Rattus norvegicus: one gene and its partners. The protein of the gene in region 1 interacts with the protein of each later gene in a biochemical or structural test. Links are inferred from orthologs where the notes say so. Each region holds a gene or a part of one and is shown on either strand. Other genes may lie near its edges.

Region 1 (3,500 bases):
ACTGGGAAAGCATCAGATCTCCCCTAGAGGCATAACAGCGGGGCTGCAGAGAGAGCAGGCGAGTGCATGCAGATGGTGCAGGGCAGCAGGGGCTGCAGGACAGACAGACCTGAGTTCAAAGGAGTGGGAAGGACTTAGAGAAGAATGTGTACTTCCATAAAGTTCCCTTGGTCAGCCTGCCCAGGAGGAGGGCTGTGGTGCAAGGCTGGAGTCTCTGCTAAGAGCTGACCCATCTGCCAGTGGTGTTGTGCTCAGACAGCGCTGAGGGACGGACGGCAGCTATGGCCACATAAGTAGAGGCATGCTGTACTACTACTTTGGCTTGGATGTTCACAGGCCTGTGCTCTACAAGCAGTATTATTCTTCATTGCTCTAGACAGTAGGGAATTTGGCCTCTAAAGACAGCTGTGGTTGAGCAGAGGAAACCCTGGTCAGGAGGCTCCTTTCCTCAGGAGAACAGAAAGAACCTAGTGAAGCCAGGATTAGAGAAGAGGTGCCGGGAAGAGTAGACGGACTGCTGGGGAGAGTGTGGCGTCTGAGGGTGAATCACAAACACAGGCCTGACATCCCAGCATTTAGGAGACTGAGGTTAACAAGGTTTAATATCAAAACAGCAACAAAGGGCCAAGTAAATACAATAAAGAGACAAACCAAATCTAAAACCCAGTCCAACCCCAAAGGAAAAGCCTCAACCAGGAGATCAACACTGACTGGTGCTGGGTGTCAGACACTGCCTATGGGAACCGAGTCTTTTCACTTTGTCACTCTGGGCTGGTATCTCATTCACAGATGGGAAGATGAAGCCCATAGTGACAGATTTCCAAGAGAACAGACAGGAAGGGGCCTAAGTGTAATGAGTGTCCCATGGTCACTGGGACACTGCTCTCCAGAGCTGGAGCCGGGTGTCCCAGCATGTCCAGATCACTGACTTGGGAGAAGCAGGTGCACACTGGAGACAAAAAGCACAAGACAGGAAGGAATCCAATACAAGCCCTACCGACCGACCAACCAGAGGCTGGCAGGGGAACACTGGAACATGTATAAGGCCAGCCCTAGGATTGCTCTGACTGTGATTCGGAGTGAAGCAATAGGTGTGAAGTCACCCACTGACCTACAGATGGTGTAGAGAGCTGGGCCGAGTCACCAACACGTAAACATTCCACATGCCATCATTTCTGAAACAGTACCTCCAAAGCATGGTCACTAGGTAAATGTCACAAGTTTATCTTTCTCTAACTTGTATTTTTCTTAATGTAATCATCCTCAAGCTGAAAAATCACTGGTCAGTTCTGAACTTCATACACTTGCTTCTTCAAGCTGTAGGGAAAACTATCAGTGGGAGAGCAGGAGGCTCAACAGAGGGCCACTGGCACTGACTTCTACTCCATGGTCAGCTTTCTAAGCAGGGCATAGTTTTTTGACGCAGCTAAGGTAGGTGGCTACCATATCACAGAGACCCATAGTTTCTCCTGTTGTATGGCTCGGATGCTCTTTCCAGTCTTCTTTAAAAGCTATAGGAGGTTAGCTATGGCTGACCTAACTGCACAGAGACCTGGCTATGCTTCTTACCTGTGACAAGGGGCGTCTGGGTGGGTGGCTGCTCCAGCAGGACCATGTGCTGCAGGAGGGGGTTGTGAGCTGCTCCACCGTCCCGCTCCAGGGGCGAGGTGCTCAGGTATGGGGTGAGGTGGGTCCCAGGGAACAAGGAGATTCGCTGCTGGAGGGCTGGGAGAGCAAGCCTCTCAGCATCCTGCTGGCCTGCTGCACCCTGAAAGGCACAGTCAGTATACTCAGGCTGTGGAAACTGAGGCAGACAACCACCCCCACGCCACACAGACTCACAGAGGCCAACTTACAGCAGCAGGGCCAGTGGCAGGAAGTCCCAGGGTGATGTTGGGCAAGGATGGTGATGTATAGAGAGGAAGTGGGGCAACAGAGCCTTCTCGAGTCACAAGTCTGTGTGCCAAGCTCGTCTGTAGACAGAAGACATTGTGACCGTCAGAGTCTGCTACAGATGTTCCAATACAAGCAGCACATCCAGGACTGCAAGGGGCACTTACAGCATGAGGTGCTGACGTGTGGTTACCTGGTGCAAAAACAAGCTGCTCAGACTGTGGCCTCCAGTGTGGGTAAGGCCTTTAAGCATGCCACAGGCAGAGAGTCAGGACTCCCACTCCTGAGGTTTTCCCCTCCTAATGGGTTCCTGCTACCTTGTTTGTTTTTATTCAACCTACCTACTTACCATAAAACTATGGATAGGATATTTAGAACAATGCATCTTAAAATATTTTTGTAGTTAGGATGTTTCCAAGAGTGACATCAAAAGCAGAAACCAGGGAGAAAGTTAATGGTGAGGAGGAGAAACCCTGTTCTCATAAAGGCAGGTGATGATGGCAACAGGATCTGCAGTGCACAGGGAAAACAAAGACTGGAGTATAAAGAACTTGTCAATCAAAGACCAATTAACATGAGAGCAGAGCTCAATAAAGACAATGACAAAAGAACCCATTTCAAGGGAAATGAAAAAATGCTCAACTTTCATCAGTGACTGAAAAACATATTTATCAAGTCATCAAACTGACAAATTTTGTAAAAGTGCAGAAAAGCTGAACCGAGTGGTCATGAGATTATAAACTGATGTCCTTTCTGCAGAATGATTTGGCAATCTGTTTGTAAGCTTTAGAAGCAGAGTTGTTCTTGATTGTGAGGCTTCACTCTCAAGATACAGTGGGAAGAACAGGCCTAAGGAAATGGCTCAAGCACCTGAAGTTAGCTACGGTCATTTAAGTAGTCACATGGAGGCAGTAATATATGGCTTCTATCTATATATCTATATATGCTCCAAGTCACAGTTAAAAGAACACATGGATTTGTACATATCAACACACAGAGGTCAGGAAATGGCCTGCTAACCATGCTAGCTGTTACTTCTGTTTATTAGTGTCATTATTCTGCCATTACTCACATTATTTCTAAGGGCAATGGTAGAGTTAGAGGTAGGCTTAGGGTAGGTTTGTCATTAGAGTTAGTGTTAGTCCTTGGCTGGGGGCAGAGGTAGTAGGCTTAGGGTTAGGGTTGTTGGCAGGGCTAGGGTTAAGATTGTGGGTAGGGTTAGGTTACAGCTTGGTATAAAGTTAGTATAGGCGCTTCCTGGGAGTACTGTGGTTCTTCAGTGGACCAGGGCTAGTAATAAATTGCACACTTTGCAGGAAAGTGAGTATGTGCAGTTTGTGATAAGGGGTGTGTTAGCTACCAGCTTCTTTTCCTGCACAGAGAGGTTTTTGGGACACTACTAGGGTGCCCCAAAGATCCCACCATGCATAACCCACACATGAGCAGCCTTCAGCCACTGCTCATTCAAGTCTAGCATTTGAAATTCAAAAGGAATGTCCACATGTGATCCAGGACTCAAACACCAGCTCGGTCTGTGACAACAACTGTCTGATGAGAAATGCCGGCATTACTGTTCTTGGGGATGCTCTGGATGCTTTAATTTGTGG
Region 2 (4,015 bases), on another chromosome or scaffold:
AGTAAAATGGGCTTTAGAGTCCCTATATGAACCTGATCTGTGTCTTATTATTTGAGGGCTTTAGGGTGGAAGGACATGAATCTGTTGATTCAAGCTCTGAGCTTTCATTATAGTGTCATACTTACAAACCCCTGGTGAGGATGTTTAGTACCAGAAGAATAAAGAATTCCCTGTCTCCCAACAAACAAAGATGCTAAGAGTGGAGGAGCATCCTGAGCAAGAAGCACAATTATAAACTCCCAAAGGTCAGTACCTCCCAAAGGAGAGCCATAGAACAAGATTTTCATCAATAAGATTGGAAAGGGTAAAAGAAAGTCCTCTGGTGTCCTGAACATCGACGGCTTTCTGAATGTGCATCTTTAGGACAGATCATGACAGAAAGAGCTGAAAGAGGGCAAGAAAAGGAACTGTCCATCATGCATGCTTCAGGCTCCTGAGACAAGATGCTCCAAAATTCTAACTAAAAACAAGAGATTCCCAAGTCCTTTCCACACTGTGTGTAAGGTCCCCCATGCAAGAAATGGTGCTAAAGAATTCTAAAAATTCTTAATTGTTCTTTAGTGAACAAGGTTAACAAATAGTTTGAGGGCAGGAGAGACAGCTCAGAGGTTAGGAACACTTAGTGTTTGTCCAGAGGACCCTTGTTCAGTTCCCAGCACCAACCAACCACTTGTAACTCCAGCCCCAGAGAGACCATGCCTCTCAGTACACATACACACACACACACACACAAAATTGTATTTAAAAGGAAATTAAATGGTTAACACAAAGTCAGTTTATGAAGGTGTTCTCCTTCATATTGTTCTGAGAGTAAAAATAAAAATAAAAAGAGATCCTAAATATACTTAATTTATATTATTATTGTTATTATTATTATTTTTAAATGTTACTGAAAAGTACATCTAGAAAAAAACAAACTTCTGCGTGACAGTCAGGGCACCAGCCGGGCCATGGGCATCTGTCTGAGGAACGTGGGACCTTCTTGGGTCGCCTCCCAGCGACTGTGAGGAGCAAGGCGGCCAGGTAACCAGCGCGGGGTGCCGGGCGCTGAAGAGCCACGCGGGTCTCGTGGGCGCCGGCCTCTGGTTGCGGGTGCGGGGCCTCCGGCCTCTCCCTGGGCACCGCCCCCGGTCCGGCCGGGTCGCTCAGCTCGGCTCGTCCGCGGCCAGGCGGGGCGGTCGCACTCGGAGCGGCCGCCGCCTGGGGCGCTCGGGTCGGGTCGGCCGCACGGACGCACATTGCCCGCCAAGCCGCCGCCTCAGGTCAGAGTCGCCCCGGGCCACAAGGCCCGCCGCAGGGACGCTGAAGAAGAGACCTGGGGCGCCGCACTGGGGTACCGGGTCGTGTGAGGCCTGAGGGGACTGAGTGTGACGACAAGGTGACCAGGCTGAGGGGACGGGCTGAGGAGAAGTCATACTCAGACAGGACCCGGTGAGACTGACAGCCTGACGAGGTCTCTCTCGGCTGAGGGGACGCGGGCTGAGAAGTCACTTTCTGACCGGACTGTGTGACAGACAAGGTGAGGGGGCCTCGGCCTGTGGGGACTGGATCTGACTGTCTAGGTGACTGGGTCTCGGCTGAGGGGACGCGGGATGAGGAGAAGCCACTCTCTGTCAGGACTGTGTAACTGACAGCCTAATCCTGTCTCAACTAGAGGGGACGTGGGCTGGAAAGTCGCACTCTGACAGGACGGAGCGTGACAGACAAAGTGACGGAATCTTAACTGAGGGGACTGAGGAGAAGTCATACTCTTGACAGGACCAAATGTGACAGACAAGGTGATCGAGTCTGGGTCTGAGGGGGATGCGGTCTGAGGAGAAGTCACTTAGGAGAAGAGTGAGAGAGCGTGATAGCGGGGCGGGGTCGGAGTGAGGGGTCTCGGCTGAGGACCGGTCACCCGCCTAGAGAGCCGAGTGTGACTGACAAGGTGAATGTCCTCGTGAGGGGCACGGCCCGGCAGGCCCGGAGGGCCACAGTGGAGCCACCTCAGGTTTCCTCAGAAGGTGCTCCGGCAGGCGTGTGCGAGCTCGGAGCAGGGTAGCCCGGGCAGCCCGACCCTGACAGGAAAGCCAGGTCTCCGCACGGTCCAGAACTCCCGCGGGAGGCCGCATTGTGTGGATCTGGTGACAGTTTTCAGAGAGGGGCTCGCCAGTAGCCACCGGGTACCCCGAGGCGCTGGGGGTGGGGGGAGGAGGGTGCGCCGGTGATCGTCTAAGCAACTTGGCCCGGGGCTCCCGCCCGCCCGGGGCTCGCCAGGTGTGAGGAAAATGGGGTCACTGTCGCCAAGGCCCCGCCCCACCAGTGCCCCTCTTCAGCCTAGGAAGGGGGCGAGCACAGGGCAGGGCTAACTGGAGTAGGCAGCCCTCGTGGTGGGGGTGGAAGGTGGGTGTGTGGCTCCGGTGCTTTATGGCTTGGGAGTGGGGAGGAGCCTAAGGTGAGGAGGCAGAAACTGGGAGTAGCCTGGGCTGCTTTTATATAAGGGACTCGAGGAGGTCAAGAAGGGGCCTGGACCTCTGCTGGTGATCAGAAGGCTGCAGCGCTAAATTCATCTTAACTCCCATTGAGTAGGTGAGTGGCTGCATCGTCATGGCACTTTGTTAGAGGGTGTTGTGAAGTGGCCAAACTGCCCCAAGTTCTTACACATCAGGATGGTTTGGCTGTGTTCTTGTACTGTAAGAATCTGCTTCGCTTCTGATGCTAACGGTGGGAAGGTCGTGTCATTTACTTCAGGAGGAGGAAAAAAATCAAGAGTTGAGTTTTCTGTCAGGCAGAAGCTAAAGTTGTTCTTCTTTAGCAGAATGAAGGACAAAAATGTAAATTGAAATGATCATTTGAAAACAAAACCAGATGAACCAAGTTGGAGGGTAACTAACAGTTGGAAAGCCTCTTTCTTGATTTGGAGTTCATTATCATAATGTCAACTCTTTATTATCATGCACAAAGCAAATTGTTAACCGGAGTTATTAAATGAATAACTTAGTCTTGGACTTGGGCAGGTCTTCCAAAGATATCAGGTGCTCTGTGGGAGTCCTCCTGTCCATAGCTAAGTGATCAACTGCTGACTAAAAATATAGCTAGGTCCAGGTGCTATGTGATTTAAAGCCTGGCTAGGGTAGGAGCTGACATACATTGTGACTTCTCAAAGAGATACTTCTCTTGAATGTTTAACAGACGCGCTCATAGATGCTAAGAGCACTTGGAAGCGATGTTTCAGAAGATTCGGTTTCGACTTTAAAATAAGTTCTCTGTGGCCTTATCTTCAACCGCATTTGCTCTAAAGTAAATGTCCAAAATATTAATTTTAATATACGGAAATTTGAAGTCAGTGTCATGCATTAGTTGGAGTGAAGCATATTACAAAGCCATCCATTTTTATTTTACTGTGTGTTTTGTGTGAATTTGCTCGTTTAAGTGCTACCTCAATATTTTAATTTGCTGAGACTTGTATCTTCAGTGAGAAGATCTGAAAAGCAACTGGTGGCCATCTCAATATTCTGCAGCTCACTAGAAGGGAAAAGATTGTCGACAGTTTTATTTTTAAGGAAAAAAATCTTTTTCATATGTAAAAGTTTCAAACTCTTAAAACTGCTGAAGAACAATGGCGCCGTGAAGTCTGAAGTTCTGGGTACCTCTAGACCAAGGAGTTTTTACATGCTGTGTCCTCACCCTTTCATATCTAAAAGAATATAAGCTCTTTAAAACAAATTAGAACTAAAAGACCCAGAAGCATCATACACATCAATATTTAAGACTACTTTGATGGTTTTTGTGATAACTATTTTTAATAATTCAGTACATTTCCTTTAAAGGAACTGGTTTTCTTAGCATTCACGTCACTACATATCTCAGCGTCACTTTAACAAAAAAGGGAAAGTCACACTAAAAAAAAAATCATATCATTAGTTTCAAAGTCCCTTTGACATTTAAAATTCATATATGATAAAAGCATGACTTTACATTTTTGACGTAGAAATGGATTACTGAGTATGCAAGTGATTGTGTTCAGTTAGTAAGT
Region 3 (3,500 bases), on another chromosome or scaffold:
CTTTATTGAAGTGTTTTCTTTACCTCCTGTTGTGTACATGTTTTAATTATTTCTTTGGAGAGTACAGTGCAGTTACATCATTTCCCCCAACCTCTGTTTCTGCCCTCCAAGTCCTCCCTAAAAACCACTTTGGCCTCTCTCAAATCCAAATCACATTACTGGTTCCATTGCTGTTGTTCTACCTCGCCATGTTTCTCTTTCCCTTTCTGAAATTGCCATTATTATTCCTAAATTATCATAAATGTGGCATTCCCTATACCAGCTCGTCAGTGTAAACTATCTTTCTAAATGACGGAGGTATTTGGGTATATAAAGTCTTTTGAAAGTAAAATTTTCATTGCAAACTTCCACAGTCATCTTCAGAGTTCATCCTAAGGGCATTAGGTCTGCTCTTCTTTTTTTCATCCTTTTTTTAAATCAGTGGCTATTTTCATTCCATTTCCTCTAGATAAGTAGGCTTTGCACTTACAAAGCTGCATTTTAATGGTACACATACACAGAGAGACAGACAGACAGACAGACAGACAGACAGACAGACAGACAGACAAAGGCAGAAATAGACAAAGAGAAATAGACAGATGGAGAAATGGAGAAACAGAAAGCCTTGTGTCTCTTCATGACAGTGACACATCAGAGGAATGCATGCCTGTGTGGATCTGCTTTTCTCTACAAACTGACCCATGTTAAACACAGACCCACCAACAATGACACCTGCCCTTGCTCTAACCTATAGAACATGCAGGCCTAACTCTATTGACAAGGCCTGTTGTTATGCAAAATGTTGTTACAGGGCACATGACTGTACATAATTGCATTATGATTCTATAATTCCTTTTTCTAAGGGACCAATTCACAAAATATAGTTTAACCCAAAGATATTGGGCCCTCTTGATTAGCGTAAAGAAATTTGAGAGTAGTTTTGTTACATATGTTATCATCACACATGTCTAATGCTGAGTTTAACAATGAATTAGCTAACACGAAAATGGCATCTTTTTAGCCTTGACTTCTATTTTAATCCTAAATTGAGGCTATTTTCTTGAATCTTCCATCAATGAGTAATATAGTTGAACTCGTTCAGACAGAAGCAGAAAGATAAGTTCAGGGCCTGCCTGGACTACCCAGCAAGCGCCCTGACATAAACAACAATAGTAACAACAAAGTATCAATCATAAAATGTTAAGGTGTAACTCTAAAAATAAAGATAAAAATAAAAAAATATGCTTGGGTTCAGCATATACCCACAGTTCGGCTCTGGAACAAGAATTTTCAGGATCTCATAAGGGATATGTTTACAGAATAATAAAAACTTAATAGCAGCCCAGATCTGGTTCTCATGGGTACGGCCATTAAATCTCTTGTGGTTTCTCTTTTTCTTTTCTTTTCTTCTCAAAGTATAAAAACAGACACAAACTTCAAGGAAAAACATATATCCTTATGTAATTCCAATCCTGAGGTATCTGTATCTGCCTCACAAAACAATGCTAAAATATCTAGGTGCTAATTAAAACTTTTAGCTCTTCAGATGGCCAAGAATTTTTGTCCAACAGAACGATTCTCGAAACTTAAATTTGTTCTACGTACCCTACTTACCCAACCACCTAGATGGATGCCCTGTAGTCAGTTTGGTTCAATGGATTGCTGCCTTCTTACTCAAAGAACAGCATGTTTATATGTGGGTTTATGCAAATGCATTAAGATTCCCCAAGGGGAGATCCCCATCAACTCAGACTCTGTCAGTGACTCTGGAAATCAAGGCCCAAAATGCCACATGCATTTTAGTTTTATAAAAATGGATAAAATATCCCACATGTCACAGATCTATTGAAGCCCAAGGAGAAAAAGCTCTATATTTACATCCCCCATTGACTTAATCTGTAAGCCAGAAAACAAGAGTCCACCCTTCTGTTGCTTCGGCACAGACTTCCGCATATGAAATCCATTAGTTGAGGCATGGGACGGTCTTGTTTCCATCATAACTGGAGTCCTTTTCCTTAAACAAGAACACTCAAGAGCCATAAAGGCAGCACTTGAGAGACCAATAAGAGGGGTAGAGCATCGCTCCAGCTTCTGGAACCTTCTAAATGCTCCCTAGGACGTTGTTGGCATTGGTTTGACCACTGTGTCTTTGTTTCTCTGGACATCCCATGCAGGAAACAAGTTGAATAAATAATTGGCATTCTACAAATAAACTATCGGCCTTTAGTGTACGCCAATATTTGGTGAAGGATTACATATGGACAAACTGCCTCTCAATAAAGGTGTTTTGAATGATAGCATTAGAAATAAAAACAATTCCACAGATCCCCAAGCATTAAGTATTTTTAATATGTGATATCTGCATGACAGGACATATATGTGTGTGGTATGTAGTGTTCATCCAAGTCTTTTGAGCAAAGAAGACTGGCCAAAAACAGTATGCCTAAGGTTTTAGTCTGCTGGGTGTTTACTTTTAAATTTTAAAGGCTATTTCCTAGGTATCAAGAGAAATACAGTAGGTTATATTGACAATTGACAAATTCTAATACAGCCTTTTCTCTAATCACATAGCACACTTCTATTTCCCCCCTCACCTTACCACACCCAATTGTTGAAAAGTTATTCACTCTTTCCATGGAAGTGGAGTTTAGCATTCTTACCTGGCACTCTCTTTGCCCAGTTGATCATATGAACCAGCTCCCTGTCTGCCAGGTTGGTCAATAAGCCCATCATTGAGGCTTCACTGAAGGGTCTAGAAGGATCATATTCAGAATAGATCAAAGGTGGTTCAGCATCCAATAAGGCACTGACCATCTGGTCAGCTGTCAAGGACAGGGCGGGGCTATTCTTCTTAGTGTGCTTGATCACAAGTGGACTTGGCCAAAGGTTGGCAGCTCTCATGTCTCCTGAAGTGCCCATTTCATTTCGGCCTTCCAAGTCATCTCTCTGACGCTTGTGCTTCAACATTCTCCCTCCTCGGCGGTCTTTTCGTATCCCTGAAATCACAGAAGGATAAAGAACAAATTTGATTACCTTTTTTGCCTGTCAATCTCAGAACAAGCTCCTGGGAATATAACAATAGAATTTTATGAGTGAGTAGTAGTTGTCTCTAACATACAAGTAATTTTGTGTGCACATGTGTGTCTGTATATATGTATGTATATGAGTATGTGTAAGCATATATATGTATGTGTACACATATATGTATGACACATGTGTATTTATCTGTGCATACATGTCTGTGTTTGTGCACATGTGTATGTGTATGCTTTTGTGTGTGTTTATGTATATTTATATACATATATATGTGTGTATCCGTGTATTATTTTATGTGAACATGTGTGTATATGTGTACATGTGTCTATGTATCTGTGTATGTATTTTATGTGTTTATGTATGTATGTGTGTACATGTATGTATATGTGTACATATGTCTCTGTGTGTACATGTGTGCATGTATGCATATGTATATATGTGTATGTATATGTGAATATATGTGTACATGTGTCTCTGTGTACACT
Region 4 (3,086 bases), on another chromosome or scaffold:
ACCCAGTGACTCCTCCCCTCTGCCCTCCAGAGTTCCTAGGCCTACCACACCTAGCTTGTTACGGTCTTTCATGGATTCAGAGTTCAGGAAAGATCAGTCATTGTTAACTTAAAGTTATCTACCGAGAGAAAGCACACATTTCTCTGCTCTAAGCAAATCCCATTCTTCCCCAGCTCTTTGCTGCCTTCTGTTTTATGTTTTAATGCATTTGCCTTTTCTGGAGACTTCATGTAAATGGAATCCTATGCCATGTGGTCCTTCTGTCTGGCTTTTTCCTATCATATGAAGAACCTTGAGACTTCCCAAGTTGTTTTTCATATTCTCACCAGTGGTGTGTGAGAGTTCAAAGTTCTCACCTGGTAAGACTTGGCATATTTTACTGTGGAGATAGAGGTGGCTAGAACTTAGAACCTTGCTCACACACCCAGCCTTTTGCCTGCTTTGTTCCTGCTTTCGAGCCTATAGCATAAGGCTGTTTTGCATTATGGTTTGAATGTGCATTTTCATGGTGACTAGCTGTACGATTGGTAAGTGCGCTAAGGCCATGTTCTGGGCCATAGATGGTGGTATTGTCATGCCAACGGCCATTCTTAACATGAGTGCAAGAATGTTGGATGCACTGTGCCTGTGTCATCTTATGTGCAAGAGACTGATCTTGGCCATCTATTCTCAGAGTCTGTAGGCCCTGTATCCTCACATTCAACCAACCATAGATCCACAAAGCGTTCCTCTGATGGTAAAACGCAGTGGTAGAGTATGTACCTAGCTTCTGTAAAACCCTGGGTTCCATCCCCCAGCACTGATGAGAATATTTAAGTTTTATTTAGAATTACTGTTATTTTATATGCATGATAATGCCTACATGTGTGTATGTATGCATATGTGTCTGTTGGCTCTCCTAGAACTGGGGGAATGGATAGTTGTAAGTTTGGATGCCTGGAATCTAACCTTGGTCCTCTGCAAGAGACAAGTGCTCTAAACTACTGAACTGTCCCTCCAGCCCTTGCCCAGCGCATTCATTTTAAATCCAGATGTGATGATTCATACTGATGATGATTCATACATCTTGACCTTCTGAAGGCTAAGGCAGGATTGGTGCCCTGAGTTCCAGGCCAGCTATAATGGGAAGCGTGCCTCTAACAGAAGAGACTTTAGAATAAGGGAAGAATTACATAGTGCTGATATCAAACCAGGTAGTGTAAGTCCTGGAGATTGTGCGACATACATGAAGCACACCAGTGACCCCAGTACTCTAGAGGTGGAGACCAAGACTCAGACCAGCTGAGTAACAAGACTCAGGAGGTCTGTAGTGGAGCACTTGCCTACCACGCTAAAGGCCTGGGTTCTGTCCCAAGCTCCACCAGAAAGTGAAGGGTTTGAGTGGCTGTGCATAATAGTATCTATAGTGTCTTTGCATCAGTCCCCTGCAGGGACTGAGTCATAAAGGTGGGCCTGTGAGGGGACAGAAGTGGATGTGGAACTGCCATTCTAAGATGTATCATAGATTTTACCATGTGGATGTTACTTTGACTCCCACATGCTGTCCTACAGGAGGCGAGGTTGCTGAGGCAGGGTAGGGCCTATGTTAGTTTCTGCCACCTGACCTGTCCAGTATCTATCCCCTGTCCTTATGCAGCTGCTGCCATGGCGCAGACCCTGCAGATGGAGATTCCAAACTTTGGCAACAGCATCCTCGAGTGCCTCAATGAGCAGCGGCTACAGGGACTGTATTGTGACGTGTCAGTGGTGGTAAAGGGCCATGCCTTCAAAGCCCACCGTGCTGTGTTGGCCGCCAGCAGCTCCTACTTCCGGGACCTATTCAACAGCAGCCGCAGTGCTGTGGTAGAACTGCCAGCCGCTGTGCAGCCACAGTCATTCCAGCAGATCCTCACGTTTTGTTATACAGGCCGGCTGAGCATGAACATGGGGGACCAGTTCCTGCTCATCTACACAGCCGGCTTCCTGCAGATCCAGGAGATCATGGAGAAAGGCACTGAGTTCTTCCTCAAAGTTAGCTCTCCAAGTTGCGACTCCCAGGGCCTGCACCCGGAGGAGGCCCCATCCTCAGAGCCTCAGAGTCCTGTAGCGCAGATATTGGGCTGGCCAGCCTGTAGCACGCCACTGCCCCTTGTGTCACGGGTCAAGACAGAACAGGAGTTGGACTCGGTGCAATGCACACCCATGGCCAAGAGGCTATGGGATAGCAGCCAGAAGGAAGCTGGAGGCAGTGGTGGCAACAATGGCAGCCGCAAGATGGCCAAGTTCTCCACGCCAGACCTGGCCCCTAACCGGATGCCCCAGCCAGTCTCTGTGGCCACAGCTACAGCAGCAGTGGCTGTGGTTGCAGTGGGGGGATGTGTGAGTGGGCCCAGCATGTCAGAGCGGACCAGCCCAGGTACCTCCAGTGCTTACACTAGTGACAGCCCCAGCTCCTACCACAACGAAGAAGACGAAGAGGAAGATGCAGGTGAGGAGGGCACAGATGAGCAGTACCGTCAGATCTGCAATATGTATACCATGTACAGTATGTTGAACGTTGGCCAGACAGGTGAGTGCCGCCCTCCCTTATGTGCGTGCGTGCACGCACAAGCGTTAACATATAAACATGCTTGTCCCCTGTTCCCACAGTTGAGAAGGTGGAGGCTCTTCCTGAGCAGGTCGTCCTTGAGTCCCACAGTCGCATTCGAGTGCGGCAAGACCTGGCATCTCTCCCAGCTGAGCTCATCAACCAGATCGGCAATCGCTGCCACCCAAAGCTCTACGATGAAGGCGACCCCTCAGAGAAGCTGGAGCTTGTGACAGGTGTGCTGACTGTGCTTTCGTGCCCATCCCCTGTGCTCTGCAAGCTAGCACCCTTCCTGTGTCTCAGGGCACTTGACACTCTCCATTCCCATTTGAGCAACTGTTAGTAGCAGGTGCCCTGACGAGTGGTGTGTTAGGGTAGGAGAGTTGGTAGTGGGGATATGATTCAGCTGGTAATAACCATCTTACCTAGCATGCATAAAGCCCTGGATTTCATACCAAGCACTGTATAGACTAGGCACAGTGGTGTACATTTATAATCCTAGCACTCAGGATGGGGAGGC
Region 5 (4,128 bases), on another chromosome or scaffold:
GTCACTGAGATGGGTCTGCACTATGGTATTCTGTTTCTTTTGATTCCAGTTTAATTCCATCAAACCATAAATTCCCTCGGAAATGCCGTAGACACCTCAGTCAGTGCAATGCCAGAATCTCGGCATATGTTATTTTGTTTGATTCTAGACAAAATAATCATAATCGCAGTCATCATAATGTGGGCACATAATGTGGGCTCCGTGTTGTTGTTGTAACTTATGTCAACAGCCTTCAGGATGAAGTATCTGTGTGGCTGTAAGCTGAAGGTTTACAATAGAGTGCATGATCTGGTGGGAAGTTGAATTCAGGAGACCAAGAAAAGGCCTAGCGTACACATAGCAAAACCAAGGTAACTTCCTAGATTACAACAACCATCTCTCCCCACTTCCCAAGGCCACTGAAGTTAAATATACCTCGATGTATTACGTTCAGCTGTAACTACACCTGTGATATACATTCAACTGAACCATGACCCATTTTTTTTTTTTTGTCTCAAAAGTGAAAGGCAATTATGACAGTTAGGAGACTTGCCTTTTTTTTTTTCAACCTAAGATCCTTCTGAAAGGATCTCAGCAAGGCCCCTCATGACATTTATTTGCTTTGCAACACATTTATTATATTACTGCATTTCGATAACTCATTGATAACAATTATATCTTTCACTTAACTCACAAAGTAAACAGACCACGAGGCCTTTGGCAAAGATGAGCATGTAATATGATGCCTAAGTCTAAAATTCAATTATAATTCCATGCTATAGTTAAAGAAAGACACCAACGACTCACACAGCAAATACGAAATTAACATATATAAATAAGTGCGGTTTAAAATACCCACCCCTAGCAGAAAGCTTTTTGGTGTTGATAATTTTGGCAGCATACTCTTGTCCAGTAGGGATTTTCATGCATCTTCTCACCACTGAGAATGCCCCCCTGGAAAGCAGTAATTAGCAATCATCAGTATAATCAGATCCAGTATCCACTTGCAAACTCACAAATCTGAGCAGTTTGATGAGTCTTTAGCGATCTGTCAAGTATCAATATAATAAAAAAGCATCATCTAGGAAATGAACGAATCTTCCCTGCCGAACCAGATCCTTTCTAATGTTGTGGAATAAAAGTAATTTTTAATTGACTGGAAACAAACAGATTATTAATCAACAAAATAGAAGGACATGCCAATTATAACCACTCTTGTTTGCACATGAAATTTGAAAACAATTTATAATTCACACTCATAAAACACCAAATGCTCATGGCAAACCCTGCAAAAAGCAGAGACCGGGAACAGAAGAAAAAAAAAACTGCTGCATGTTTATTTCGGTAGAAAACACAATTAACGTGGTTCCAAGTGAAGTAAATATGGCGATTGTTTTCATTAAAACATAAATCTCGAGCTCACTGGTGTGCTTTAACAGGTCCTGGGCTAAGGTGATTTCTCTCTGCCTGGTTTGGGCTGGGGGAGGGGAGAGATTTGAATTAAGCTGCTCTCCCGACATGTCTGCATGTTTCAACAGCTGATCATCTATAAAGATATCATTTTCGTTTGATTTAAAAAATGCTCACACTTCCTTGTATGCAACTGTACTAAAAACCTACAACACACACACACACACACACACACACACACACACACACACACACACACAAATGCATCCTTTCCCTGATAGTGGAAATTAGCGATAGAAGGACTGGTTTGGGATTTGATGCTTGTTACCAACACTCCCGACTGGGTCTCTGGTTGTCCCTGTACGATCTTCAGTAGGTACCCAGTCCCTCTTTAACATCTCAAAGTACTTCTGGCACTTCGGTGGAGGAGGTCCTTTTTCAAAGGCTAGGCTACCCTGGGGAAGCGCTCTCTCGGGCTCCAGGGCTTTTCTCTCTGCCTAGATAAATAAATCCTCTCAGAACCGAGGTACACGTAAATCCTAGAATGATGGTGAGCGAGTCACCTTAGTGCAAAGAAGGATAGCGGATACAGGGCAGGGACGTGGGTTCTGTTGGGTGGCCTTTTCCTGGACGGAACAACTACTTTGGATGCCGAACCAGACTCTCCACCAAACCAAGTTGAACTTTCGGCATCGATAAACAAGGCACCATCTCTGAGAACTAATGCTCATTAGCTCATCCTAACCTGTATCAGACCGCAGATACACCGCGGGCTGAGCAAAAGACATCTACAGAAAAGGTGATAAATGTTGCATTTTACATGCAATCTCCTTTCCTCCCCGAACACACACACACATTCACACTCGCGTGCGCGCACACTTCTCAGGATGACAGCTACAACTGCAGAGATCGTAAATTCACTAAGTCTCCAGTGGAGAGGTGGAGGACCCGAGGAGATGAGCTGGGGATTCGGGGCACCCGCCACACTAGGGCAAAGGTTTCTCCCCACTGTGCCCCACCCGCACCAAGCCATGGTCCGTCACCCCGCCTCGGCCCGCGGGCTCCCTGTCCCCACGGGGGAGACGAGGGGTCGCGGGGAGGAGGTGCCAGGCAGGGACGCTTACTTTCCGAGCTCCTCGAAGAGCTGATACTCGTCGGTGAACCGGGTGCAGGTGGTGGTCGAAGCCATGGCGGGGTCTGGACAGTGCGACGGGCGACACGCGAACAGACGCGGCTTCCCGGGACTGGCACCGCCGCGCTGTCACCCGGGGCCGCCCTCACTTTCCTTGTCCGAAAGTAGCTCGCCGGCGAGGGAGTGCGCGCAGGGGCGGGGCGCGCGGGGCGAGGTGGCCAGACCAGCCCGAGCCGCGATCCTTCTTCCTCCTCCTCCCGCCGGGCGAGCGCTCCCGAAGGGGCGGGGGGGAGGTGTCAGGAGGGGCTGCCGCGGTCACCGAGGCCGCACGGAGAGCTCAACGTAGCGCCCGGGGTGGCGGGCGGCAGTGGCCAAGAGTGAACACCCAAGGGGTCGCTCCTGCGGGCGGAGGCGGCGCTGGTGGCCTGCGCTCTCTCCCCACGGGGCCGCAAGGCTGGGAACCTGCGGGCGACAGAGTGCGCTCACTCGGCTCAGGCGAATCTGGCAGCCGCGGCTCCTCCCCGGCGCCTCCTCCCGCCTCTCCCCGCCCAGCGAAGCCCCCTCCTCGCCAGCCCCACACCTCCCTCTAGCGACTCCAGCCGCGTCCCTCCGGGCTGCTCTCCCGCAGCCGTCTAAGGAGACCGGAGGGAGGAGATGTGCAGAGCCCCGGGGAGCGCGCTTAAGGGGACGGGACAGAGATGTCGCAGTGACCCACGAAGGGACGGAAAGATGAGGGACAACTCGCAGCTCCCACACCCGGGATGTCTCTACCCCGGCAGTGATGGCCGTGATGCCGGGGAAACCGAGAGCGGGATGCAACCCTTGCATCTGGGCGCGGTTCGTGTTTACTGCTCCCAGACCCCAGCCCTACGTCTCCCGGCTCACAGTGACTACCGGGGGCTGCCAGCCCTGGCCACCTCTGCTTCGCCTGGCCGTCCCTTAGCTAGGAGCAAGGATGGTCAGGGCACCACGTTTCGATTCAGTTTTTACTTTCACCTCTTCGCCCTCCTCTCCCGTTGTTTTCCCAACTAGGGCGATCCCCAAAAGCATTTGCTTGGCCATAAAGCCTAACATAATGAAAGCAAGAAGTGCACCACGCTGCCACACCTTCCTTCCTCTCCAGAGTAACTCCCCTGTAACCTCAGCAAGTTCTGATAGTAAGAAGGGCTCTCGCGAGATGTCCCACTGTTGGTGGCAAGGGGGTGGGGCGTTAGGAAGGTTGGCTGCGGGTCACGCGACCCAGAATGGGGCTGACGTCATTAGCGTCACGTGAGCGTGTCTAGCCTGTTTCTCTTTGCAGAGGGAGAAGGAAAGGGAGAGGGAGGTCACAAGTTCTTTGCTTGCAGTCTCAAAGAGCTGGTCAGGTAGGGGCACAGGAATGTACTCCCTCAAGGGCTATCTGAAAAACCATTTAAGAGTTCAAGAGCGTGGCCTACAATTAAACATATGTGACACAGTTGCTTAAAAGTGAGCATGGAGAAAAAAATTAGCATGTAAGGTAGGTAAGTTGTAACTGGCTGCTAAGATCACTTCGGGGCCTTCTTTCCAGTTCCCAGTCTTTAATAAACGAGGCAATTGCAGATTTAGAGGACTATGGAAAATAGAAA
Region 6 (4,201 bases), on another chromosome or scaffold:
GATGCGATTCTGTGACTCCTGTGGGAGATCCGTGGTAAGCCAAGGACACAGCATCCCTAAACCGAAGCCTAGAACTAAGACCTCATGACTTGAGGGTGGGGCTGTGTGGGCGACTTTTCTGAGACCCCTGGGTGGCGCTCTCCACCACACCCCCAACAAACACTGCGCTGGGGCTTTTGAGGGAGGCTCGAGCTCAGAAAAGTACCTCCCCCCCCCCCAATCTCCTGCCCAGTTTCATGTGAAAAGGAAGAGACGGAGCTTTCCGCAGGTAGAGGAAGGACAGATTTTTCTTTGGTTTACGGTTTGGCATCTCAACTACGCCCTTTAAAGTGGGCCAGCCGCCGAGGGAAGAAAGAACTCTGGAGCGGCCTAGCGCTCTTCGTAGCTTCCAGTCGCTCCGGAAGGCTGAGCTGAGCTAGGCGCAGGATCTTCACAACTTTCCATCCAGGTTCTTGGGGCCGGGGGAAAATAAGGGGAGGATGCCTGAGATTGGGAGTGAGAAAGTATTACTACTCGGGCCTTGACATCTCAGTTTGCGACAATCTAGATTGCAAAACCGAGGTGTCACCTCCTACCAGTTCTCTACTGGCCCCTCTGGATTTATCTGGCCAAATCCCGCTAACTCAGACGCTCATCCCCGCGGGCAGGCATGAGAGGCCTGGTTTGGGACTGGGGAAACGACCCATTTAAAACTAGTGTCTAGGGTAAGGAAGGATGCAGTCCGAATCCCGAGGAAAAGTGAAAGGCTAGATGCCACACACTGGTGCAAATAATAGAGAACGGGACAAAACTGCGCTCCTGAGCACCGGAGTTGGGGGAGTTGGGGACGCGGGATAAACCGCATGCCCAGTGGAAATGAAAAACCTGGTGCTAAAGTGGGAACTGTTCCTCCCTCTCATCCTTCTGACCCCTTGGGGGTTGCCAGATCCTCTGCGGCTCCTCTTCCTTGCAACCTTTTGCCCTCTCCACCTAGCCACGGGCAACAGCCGCTGGCGCCGGGGCAGCAGCTAGATGTCAGGAGAAGCCCGGAGCGCCGAGCGCTGGGAAGGGAGGGGAGCGCCCGGGAAGGGAGGGCAGGGCTGGGAGCGCGCACGGGCTCAGCCAGGGCGGGGGTGGGGCGGGGTGGGCGGGCCAGGGCCGGCCAGGGGGAGGGGAGGGGGCAGCTGTGGGCAGGGAGCCGGGCTCGGCCGCCAGCACTAAAGATGGAGAGGCGCCGGGGCCTCGCAGGGGAGGGGGCTCGGCGTTGACGTGGGACGCGGCGGAGGCGCCGCAGCCGGTGGTGATTTGCTAACCTAGCGGCAGAGAGGAGTTAAGGGTGATGAGAGCGGGTACTGCGAACTGCCGGGCGATGCCGCCGCTGCCGCCGTGAGATCCGGAGCAACAGTTCCCCAGCAACACCCCTTCCCCGATCCAGGCACACCCCTAACCCCCCAGGCACGCACACCCACCCCAAGCTCCCGGCTCTGCAAGCGGTAAGTGTATGTGTGTAGGGAACCCGGGAAGGACTCGCACCGCCCAGCGACCGCCTCCCGCCAGGCGCCCTGGGGCGGGAGAGGTTTAGGCGGGTGGCGCTAGCTTTGGCCACTCGGCCGCTGGGCTCGTGCGGGGTTCTCTGGTTGCTGCTGCTGCTTCTGCAGCGATCGCCCGTGCCGGTTGGGGGTCAGCTAGAAAGCGGAGCCGAGGCTGTCAGCTCGGGCGCAGCTGCCTCACCAACCTTCCTCCTCCGGGCACGGTCCGGTCCGGGTGAGAGGTGGCAGGCCGGGAGGTCTGCCAGGGCTGCGGGAGCGTATAGTCGGGGACTGGGTGTCTTTGTACAGGCAAGGGCTGGCGGAGGAGCAGAGAGCCTGTGGGTGCTCATATGTATGCGGACCGGTGCGCTTGGCGTGAGCTAGGATTGTGTCTTATTTATTTGTGTTTATTCGCTGGCGGGCTGGGGAGCTGGAACCGGAGGAAGCGAGGAGTGAACCTGGAGGGCGGGTGGGAGGGGACTGGTACCCGCTCGGGTTTTGTTTTCTTTAGAGAAAACGTGGTGGGATTTTTCTTCTTCTTGATTGGACTTGATGCCCCCTTTTAAGGAGAGAGGGAAGCTTCGGAGAGACTCTGGCGCTCCGGGTCCTCCTCGGCTCTCGGTGGGAACAGCCCGTGGAGCCGGAGCTCGCTGTGCGCTCCCGGCCGCGCACGGTGGGTTCCCGGCTCTGCACCTGATGCATTCGGAATGTCTTTCCCACCCTGGCGCGCTGCAAGCTTGCCCAGCCCCTCGCACGCTCCCGCACGCGCTCGAAATGCGCACGATCCTGGCAGCCTGCGGACCCCACCGGAATGCACAGACGCGCACCGCTGCAACCAGCTCGCCTCCTCCCCGCCACGCTCCCAGCGTGTCTGACTCGGGCACGCCGGCAGCTGGTGCGGGAGGCCGGGGACCCTGCTGGTGGCTTCCCAGGGATCTCGATCCTGGGTGGAAGGTGGAGGACCCAGAGATCTCTTCTCGCTTGGCCTCCCACCACTTGCCTCGGGGCTTTTTGTGCTTCCTTTTCTCCCCCGGGGGGTTGCGCCGTCCGGCCGGCCTAGCAGCGGCGTCCAGCCGGCTCGGACATTCTCCTTTCCCGGGTCTCTTTCGCTTTCCTCCTTTTTTCAGCTCCGATCCCTTTCTTCCAGGCACCTGACTCCCGGGGAAAAGTTGCTTTTCCAAGTTTGCCAAAGTCCTCTGCAAGTCTAGGCGGGGGGTCTCTGGGAACAAGGGGTGTGTTGCGCCATCGATCCTTGGAGCTCTGTGGCGGGTTAGCGCTGGCTTTGCCCAGAGTCGGCTGACCGCTGCACCTAGCGACAGTCGGATCGGGTGCGGAGCTGCGGGTTAGGGAGAGGGCACCTTGATTTCCCTTAAGGCTCAAAAGGCTCCTTTGGAGGAAGATATTTGGCAGAGAACCTTCTTTATTTCGGCTTCTCTCCCTTAGTTCTTGAATCTCTGATCTCTCCCGAAAGCACACCATGTTCAAGAAGCTTTTGACGAATGAATATCTCACCACTGTTGATGCCCTCCGTTTCTACTTTGGGGTGGGCAGTAAGAGTGGCCAGCCAGTACTGTTAACTCTTTCTGCATGAGTTTTGCGTCTAAGGGTCCTTAAGACTCTCGTTGAGGGTGAAGGCATGCTCTATGAAGAGTGCGTGAGAAGCCTAGCTCTCTCCACCCTCTCTCCCCAGGCTGTGTGAAATGTTGGCTGCAGACAGAGGTTGAGACCTTATCCCGTTAGGTCTTTCTGCCCATGTCTCAATGGCTGTTCAAAGTCGAGAGCCTCTCAGTCATCCAGAATACACTCTGGGAGAGGCCTTTGTGTCTCAGCTCTGTCTTCCCTTCCTTCTGGGCTTAACTCACGCCAGAGATGCTGGTGCCAATGTCACTTACAGAACCATATTCAGTGTCAGTTTTTCTCCTTGTCACTGGGCTTGCCAACACCTGGGAGGCATCCAGTCTGGTGTGAACCCTCAAGGCTGTTGGGAACATAGCCTCCTATGATGTTCTCTGCTTTCTCTTCTTAGAGCGTTCTGTCCATTGGTGCCTTGTGGGCCAGAGGTAAAAGAGGGGGTTGTAGCATCTTGTATAATTGTATGTAGATGTGGGTGAGCGAACACACACACACACACACACACACACACACACACACACATCTCTTGGACACATACAGCAACTTTGAGGAACTTGTAGTTAGAAATGACTTAAGCTAGAATGTGATGTGGTAGGGGTGGGGTGGGGGTGTGTGTGGTGGGGTGTGTTTGTCCCAGCCTAAGAAATGGGTCTGCCAATCCTTTGCAGCCCTGACCAGAGTGCAAGGACAAAGGCTGTAGAAGTCACTGATGATGGAGAGGAGATGTGTCTGGGATGACTAGGAGAGGACAACCCCATTGCCTGCAGATAGGAGACCAACCATCATGTTTAGCAGCCAGTGCTGGCAGGCTCTGGTTGTCTCCTAAGGCCGTCTCAGTGAGCGAGAACTAGAAAGCCATTGAGGATGAGGGTTTGCCAATAGGGAGGGGGTGAGCGGTAAGACTGAATGCTTAGGTTGACTAAGGGGAGGGGTTGAAAACTCCTTAATTTTAAGTAAGTTTGTGAGCCTCATGTTGGACACTGGTCTTACACAGGAAGGCTCTGCTCTCAGGCTTAAAGAATGGCTAGGATTCAATGCACTTTATCCAATGCACTGCTTCA
Region 7 (3,500 bases), on another chromosome or scaffold:
ATGATTATACACAGGCATGCGGCATGCCTGCCCTGAGAGCTTTTGAGTAAATTTATTCCATTATTATATTCCATTTTAAGAGTAATTTAGTGTCTTAGTTAACCGTGACCTTTGAAGTGGGTAATGTTTTTGAAGGCTTAGTGCTAGAATATTTGCTCAGTGTGCATAAGGTCCTTGTTTTCTCCTCATCACTACCAATGAAGAAGAGTTCAGGGCTTCAGGTTAGTGGTAACACACATAGTACAAGGCTCTGGGTGTGGTCTCCCATACAGAGGGGAGAAACCAGCTGTTAACAATGGCTAATGAGTGCTCGATCTAAATCAGTGGTTCTCAACCTGTGGGTTGCGACCCCTTTGGGAGTCAAATGACCTCTCACAGGGTTCACATCAGATATCTTGCATATCAGACATTAATATTACAATTCATCATAGTGTAATTAACATACTGTAATTACAGTTAAGAAGTAGCAACAAAATAATTTTGTGGTTGGGGGTCACTTCTACGTGAGGAACCGTATTAAAGGATTGCAGGGTTGGGAAGGTAGAGAAATTACTGCTTTAAATTGTGAGGGTGAGAAACTGTCTGAAGGATGCAGGATTGTCAGAGCCAAACCTCACCCAGGCAGATGAGCTGTAGATCCCAACTTTTCAGATGAAATAATTGTATTAGTAAAAAGAGAGATGAAAATGATAAACTAAAACACTTATAAACTGATATATAATTAGCTTTGAAATATAGCTTATGATAATTCTTCCAAGTCATTTTTCGCCAGTGTTCTTTGGGGTTGGAGGGAATTTTCCTTTCTTATTTTTATGAAAACAGCCACCCACCTCTGAAGGAAACACAGTAGATCAGAATGATTAGAAGTACAGTTTTTGATTATACACGGATAATGCCATGTTTGCTGAGTTTAATGTCTGAGTTTCACGTTCCTTATGATAATAGTATGCCCTTCTGAAAAGTCCAGTAGGCTTCGTTATGCACAGCCTCTGTTACCCGTGGTCACTCTCAGACAAAAAACACGAAACAAGGAATCCCGGAGATTACCCATGCACTCTAAATGGCGTGCTGTTATGAGTAGCAGGAGGCGGCGTGTCGTGCTCTCTCATTTTGCCCCGCCTTTGACTGCATCCCCCTCTGCAGTACCCCTGCTTCCCCCTCTGCAGGCGTACCCTGCTGCAGACTGCTGGGGCGTTCGGCATTGACTGTCCACCTCAGTGGTCAGATGACACTCCCCGCTTTACTTTCTGACCACCCAAAGCACAAGGGAAAGGATGCTTTCTCAGTTCTTACGTTCCTGCTTATTCAAAAGTCGGTCCCCTTGAACAGCGCTTTTCCACTTCAGACACACTTGCTCACAACCTAGAATTGGACAGGAAGCAGTCCTTCGTCTTCACGCCAGCTCTGTGGAAAGAGGAAATGACACAAGGGACAGTTGAGTCATTCTTTGAGCCTAATGACCTTTTTATTTATCTATGCTCTTTATAACAGTTGTCTGTTATATCATTTCTAAGAGTGTGTGTGTGTGTCTGTCTGTCTTTTTATGTCTGTGTCTGCCTGTGTCTATGTATGTGTATCTATGTGTATATGTATCTCTGTGTCTCTGTGTCTGTTAGTGTGTCTATGGGTGTGTGTGTATGTGTGTGTGTGTCTTTGTCTGTCTGTGTCTCTTTATACTTGTGTATGTGTATCTTTGTATCTAAGTGTGTTTGTCTGTGTGTAATCTATATGAATGTGTGTCTATATCTGTGATTGTGTGTCTATGTATGTCTTAGTTAGGGCTTTCACTGCTGTGCACAGACACCATGACCAAGAACTCTAATTATAAGGATGACATTGAACTGGGGCTGGCTTACAGGTTCAGAGGTTCAGTCCATTGTCATCAATGTGGGAGCCGTCAGGTAGATCTGGTGCAGGAGGAGCTGAGAGTTCTATATCTTCATCTGAAAGCCGCTATAGCAGAACACTGGTTTCCAGGCAGCTAGGATGAGGGTCTTAAAGCCCATGCCCTCAGTGACACACCTACTCCAACAAGGCCACACCTACTCCAACAGTGCCATACCTTCTAATAGTGCCACTCCCTGGGCTGAGCATGTACAGACCATCACAGTGTGTATATGTATACTGTATGTGTGTATCTGTCTGTGTGTGTCTATATGTGTGTATATGTGTCTGTGTGTGTTTTCAAAGGAAAAGAGTTTCTGAACCTCCTGTGTTCTGATAACATAGAGCATTGTTCTTACCCTCTGAAATGGGTTGGGAAGCTGTTCTTGAGTGCACCTAACCCGTGATTTAATACTTTAGTCGCACAGTTCTTGTAGCCAGGTGGGCACAGTGTGGTGTGGCAGTTCAGAGGAAAGCTTTCCTGTGGAGGGGACGGTGCGATGTGGGTGGCAGCCCTGCCACTCTAAGCCCTGCCATTCCAAAATGCTCGTCCTCAGTTTTGAAACTTTGATCTTCATTATTTCACATGGATGCTTTTCTTTCTGCTCCTGTTCTTTTGACTTTGCCCCCGTCTCCTCTTCCTCTTTCAGGCTGTCTAGATTACTTCTCAGACTGCCGGCCTTGCGGCTGATGAATGCCACCATCACTGAGGAATTGTTCTTCAAAGGTCTCATTGGCAACGTACGGATCGACAGTGTCATCCCACACATTTTAAAAATGGAGCCTGCAGATTACAACTCTCAAATAATTGGTCACAGCCTTTGAAAGTGGAGGTCACCCTGCTCCAGGCTAAGTTTACCGTTCCTTCTCGGAACACATGAAACCAAATCGAACTGTTTCTTCCAGGGCATCTGCGAATATTAACTTTAAGAGTAACCAAAATCAAAAGTATTTTTCTTTTGGATTCCTTAAGAAGAATTTAAGTGACCAGGCAGGGGTCAGGAATTATACTACCCTGTCTGTCCTATAGGAATGAATCAACAATGGTACGGGGCTGTTCTTGGGGAGGATGACACTTAAGACTCTCTCCTCCTGACTGTCTACACTAAGCTTTCTCATTCTATTTTATAAAACAAATAAACTAGTCTTTCCCCCCTGAATTGTGTTTTTTTCCTGTTTAATGCCACTGGGCCTGTATACTGTAACAATGAGATACCTAAGCAGAAACTTCTTACGTCTGACTCATCCATGGTTATCTTAGTTACCAGGCCAAAAGGTTATTTTATGCTCAATGATGTAATGATAATGCCAGAGCTATAGGAAATAAATATATATATGCTTTTATACACATCAAGGTGCCCGTTAGCATATAACACTCGTTGCTGGCAATGAGACATGAGCCATTTGTATTTTTTTTAGTGTAGTAGATTATTAGTTACAAGCACTTTTATTCGTTGTGGTAGAAAATTACTCTTGAGAATAGGATGAGGATCCTGTTTTAAAATTTGGGATTTACTGTGTTTTAAACATAGTAGAGACGCCCCCGGGCTGTGTTAGTATTTTAGAATAGATAGTAAAATAGTTGTTTTTTTTCATCCCACAGAAAGCCTCTGTCC

Evidence for each region.
Region 2: the proteins of Hdac4 (region 1) and Pparg form a complex in vitro, tested with the Homo sapiens proteins (2 studies listed by BioGRID). The link is inferred for Rattus norvegicus from reciprocal best matches to the Homo sapiens genes HDAC4 and PPARG.
Region 3: the proteins of Hdac4 (region 1) and Esr1 form a complex in vitro, tested with the Homo sapiens proteins (2 studies listed by BioGRID). The link is inferred for Rattus norvegicus from reciprocal best matches to the Homo sapiens genes HDAC4 and ESR1.
Region 4: the proteins of Hdac4 (region 1) and Nacc1 form a complex in vitro, tested with the Homo sapiens proteins (2 studies listed by BioGRID). The link is inferred for Rattus norvegicus from reciprocal best matches to the Homo sapiens genes HDAC4 and NACC1.
Region 5: of the proteins of Hdac4 (region 1) and Camk2d, one has a biochemical effect on the other in vitro, tested with the Homo sapiens proteins (2 studies listed by BioGRID, with this or other methods). The link is inferred for Rattus norvegicus from reciprocal best matches to the Homo sapiens genes HDAC4 and CAMK2D.
Region 6: the proteins of Hdac4 (region 1) and Zbtb16 form a complex in vitro, tested with the Homo sapiens proteins (2 studies listed by BioGRID). The link is inferred for Rattus norvegicus from reciprocal best matches to the Homo sapiens genes HDAC4 and ZBTB16.
Region 7: the proteins of Hdac4 (region 1) and Nr2c1 form a complex in vitro, tested with the Homo sapiens proteins (2 studies listed by BioGRID). The link is inferred for Rattus norvegicus from reciprocal best matches to the Homo sapiens genes HDAC4 and NR2C1.

The regions. Positions count from the first base shown.
Region 1 is NC_086027.1:100,005,638-100,009,137, forward strand, and holds part of Hdac4 (histone deacetylase 4), read right to left. Parts: intron 1,974-3,500; coding exon 1,857-1,973; intron 1,769-1,856; coding exon 1,570-1,768; intron 1-1,569. UniProt on the Homo sapiens protein: Responsible for the deacetylation of lysine residues on the N-terminal part of the core histones (H2A, H2B, H3 and H4).
Region 2 is NC_086022.1:150,094,616-150,098,630, forward strand, and holds the start of Pparg (peroxisome proliferator-activated receptor gamma), read left to right. Parts: upstream 1-1,215; 5' UTR 1,216-1,519; intron 1,520-2,442; exon of another isoform or gene 2,443-2,568; intron 2,569-4,015. UniProt on the Homo sapiens protein: Nuclear receptor that binds peroxisome proliferators such as hypolipidemic drugs and fatty acids.
Region 3 is NC_086019.1:43,770,190-43,773,689, reverse strand, and holds part of Esr1 (estrogen receptor), read right to left. Parts: intron 2,976-3,500; coding exon 2,640-2,975; intron 1-2,639.
Region 4 is NC_086037.1:40,383,515-40,386,600, forward strand, and holds part of Nacc1 (nucleus accumbens-associated protein 1), read left to right. Parts: intron 1-1,636; coding exon of another isoform or gene 1,637-1,644; coding exon 1,645-2,548; intron 2,549-2,628; coding exon 2,629-2,802; intron 2,803-3,086. UniProt on the Homo sapiens protein: Functions as a transcriptional repressor. Seems to function as a transcriptional corepressor in neuronal cells through recruitment of HDAC3 and HDAC4. Contributes to tumor progression, and tumor cell proliferation and survival.
Region 5 is NC_086020.1:217,697,223-217,701,350, reverse strand, and holds the start of Camk2d (calcium/calmodulin-dependent protein kinase type II subunit delta), read right to left. Parts: upstream 2,801-4,128; 5' UTR 2,579-2,800; coding exon 2,514-2,578; intron 934-2,513; coding exon 839-933; intron 1-838. UniProt on the Homo sapiens protein: Calcium/calmodulin-dependent protein kinase involved in the regulation of Ca(2+) homeostatis and excitation-contraction coupling (ECC) in heart by targeting ion channels, transporters and accessory proteins involved in Ca(2+) influx into the myocyte, Ca(2+) release from the sarcoplasmic reticulum (SR), SR Ca(2+) uptake and Na(+) and K(+) channel transport.
Region 6 is NC_086026.1:58,070,708-58,074,908, reverse strand, and holds the start of Zbtb16 (zinc finger and BTB domain-containing protein 16), read left to right. Parts: upstream 1-1,401; 5' UTR 1,402-1,472; intron 1,473-1,496; exon of another isoform or gene 1,497-1,743; intron 1,744-2,039; exon of another isoform or gene 2,040-2,181; intron 2,182-4,201. UniProt on the Homo sapiens protein: Acts as a transcriptional repressor. Transcriptional repression may be mediated through recruitment of histone deacetylases to target promoters. May play a role in myeloid maturation and in the development and/or maintenance of other differentiated tissues.
Region 7 is NC_086025.1:30,651,107-30,654,606, forward strand, and holds the end of Nr2c1 (nuclear receptor subfamily 2 group C member 1), read left to right. Parts: intron 1-2,534; coding exon 2,535-2,709; 3' UTR 2,710-3,042; downstream 3,043-3,500. UniProt on the Homo sapiens protein: Orphan nuclear receptor. Binds the IR7 element in the promoter of its own gene in an autoregulatory negative feedback mechanism. Primarily repressor of a broad range of genes.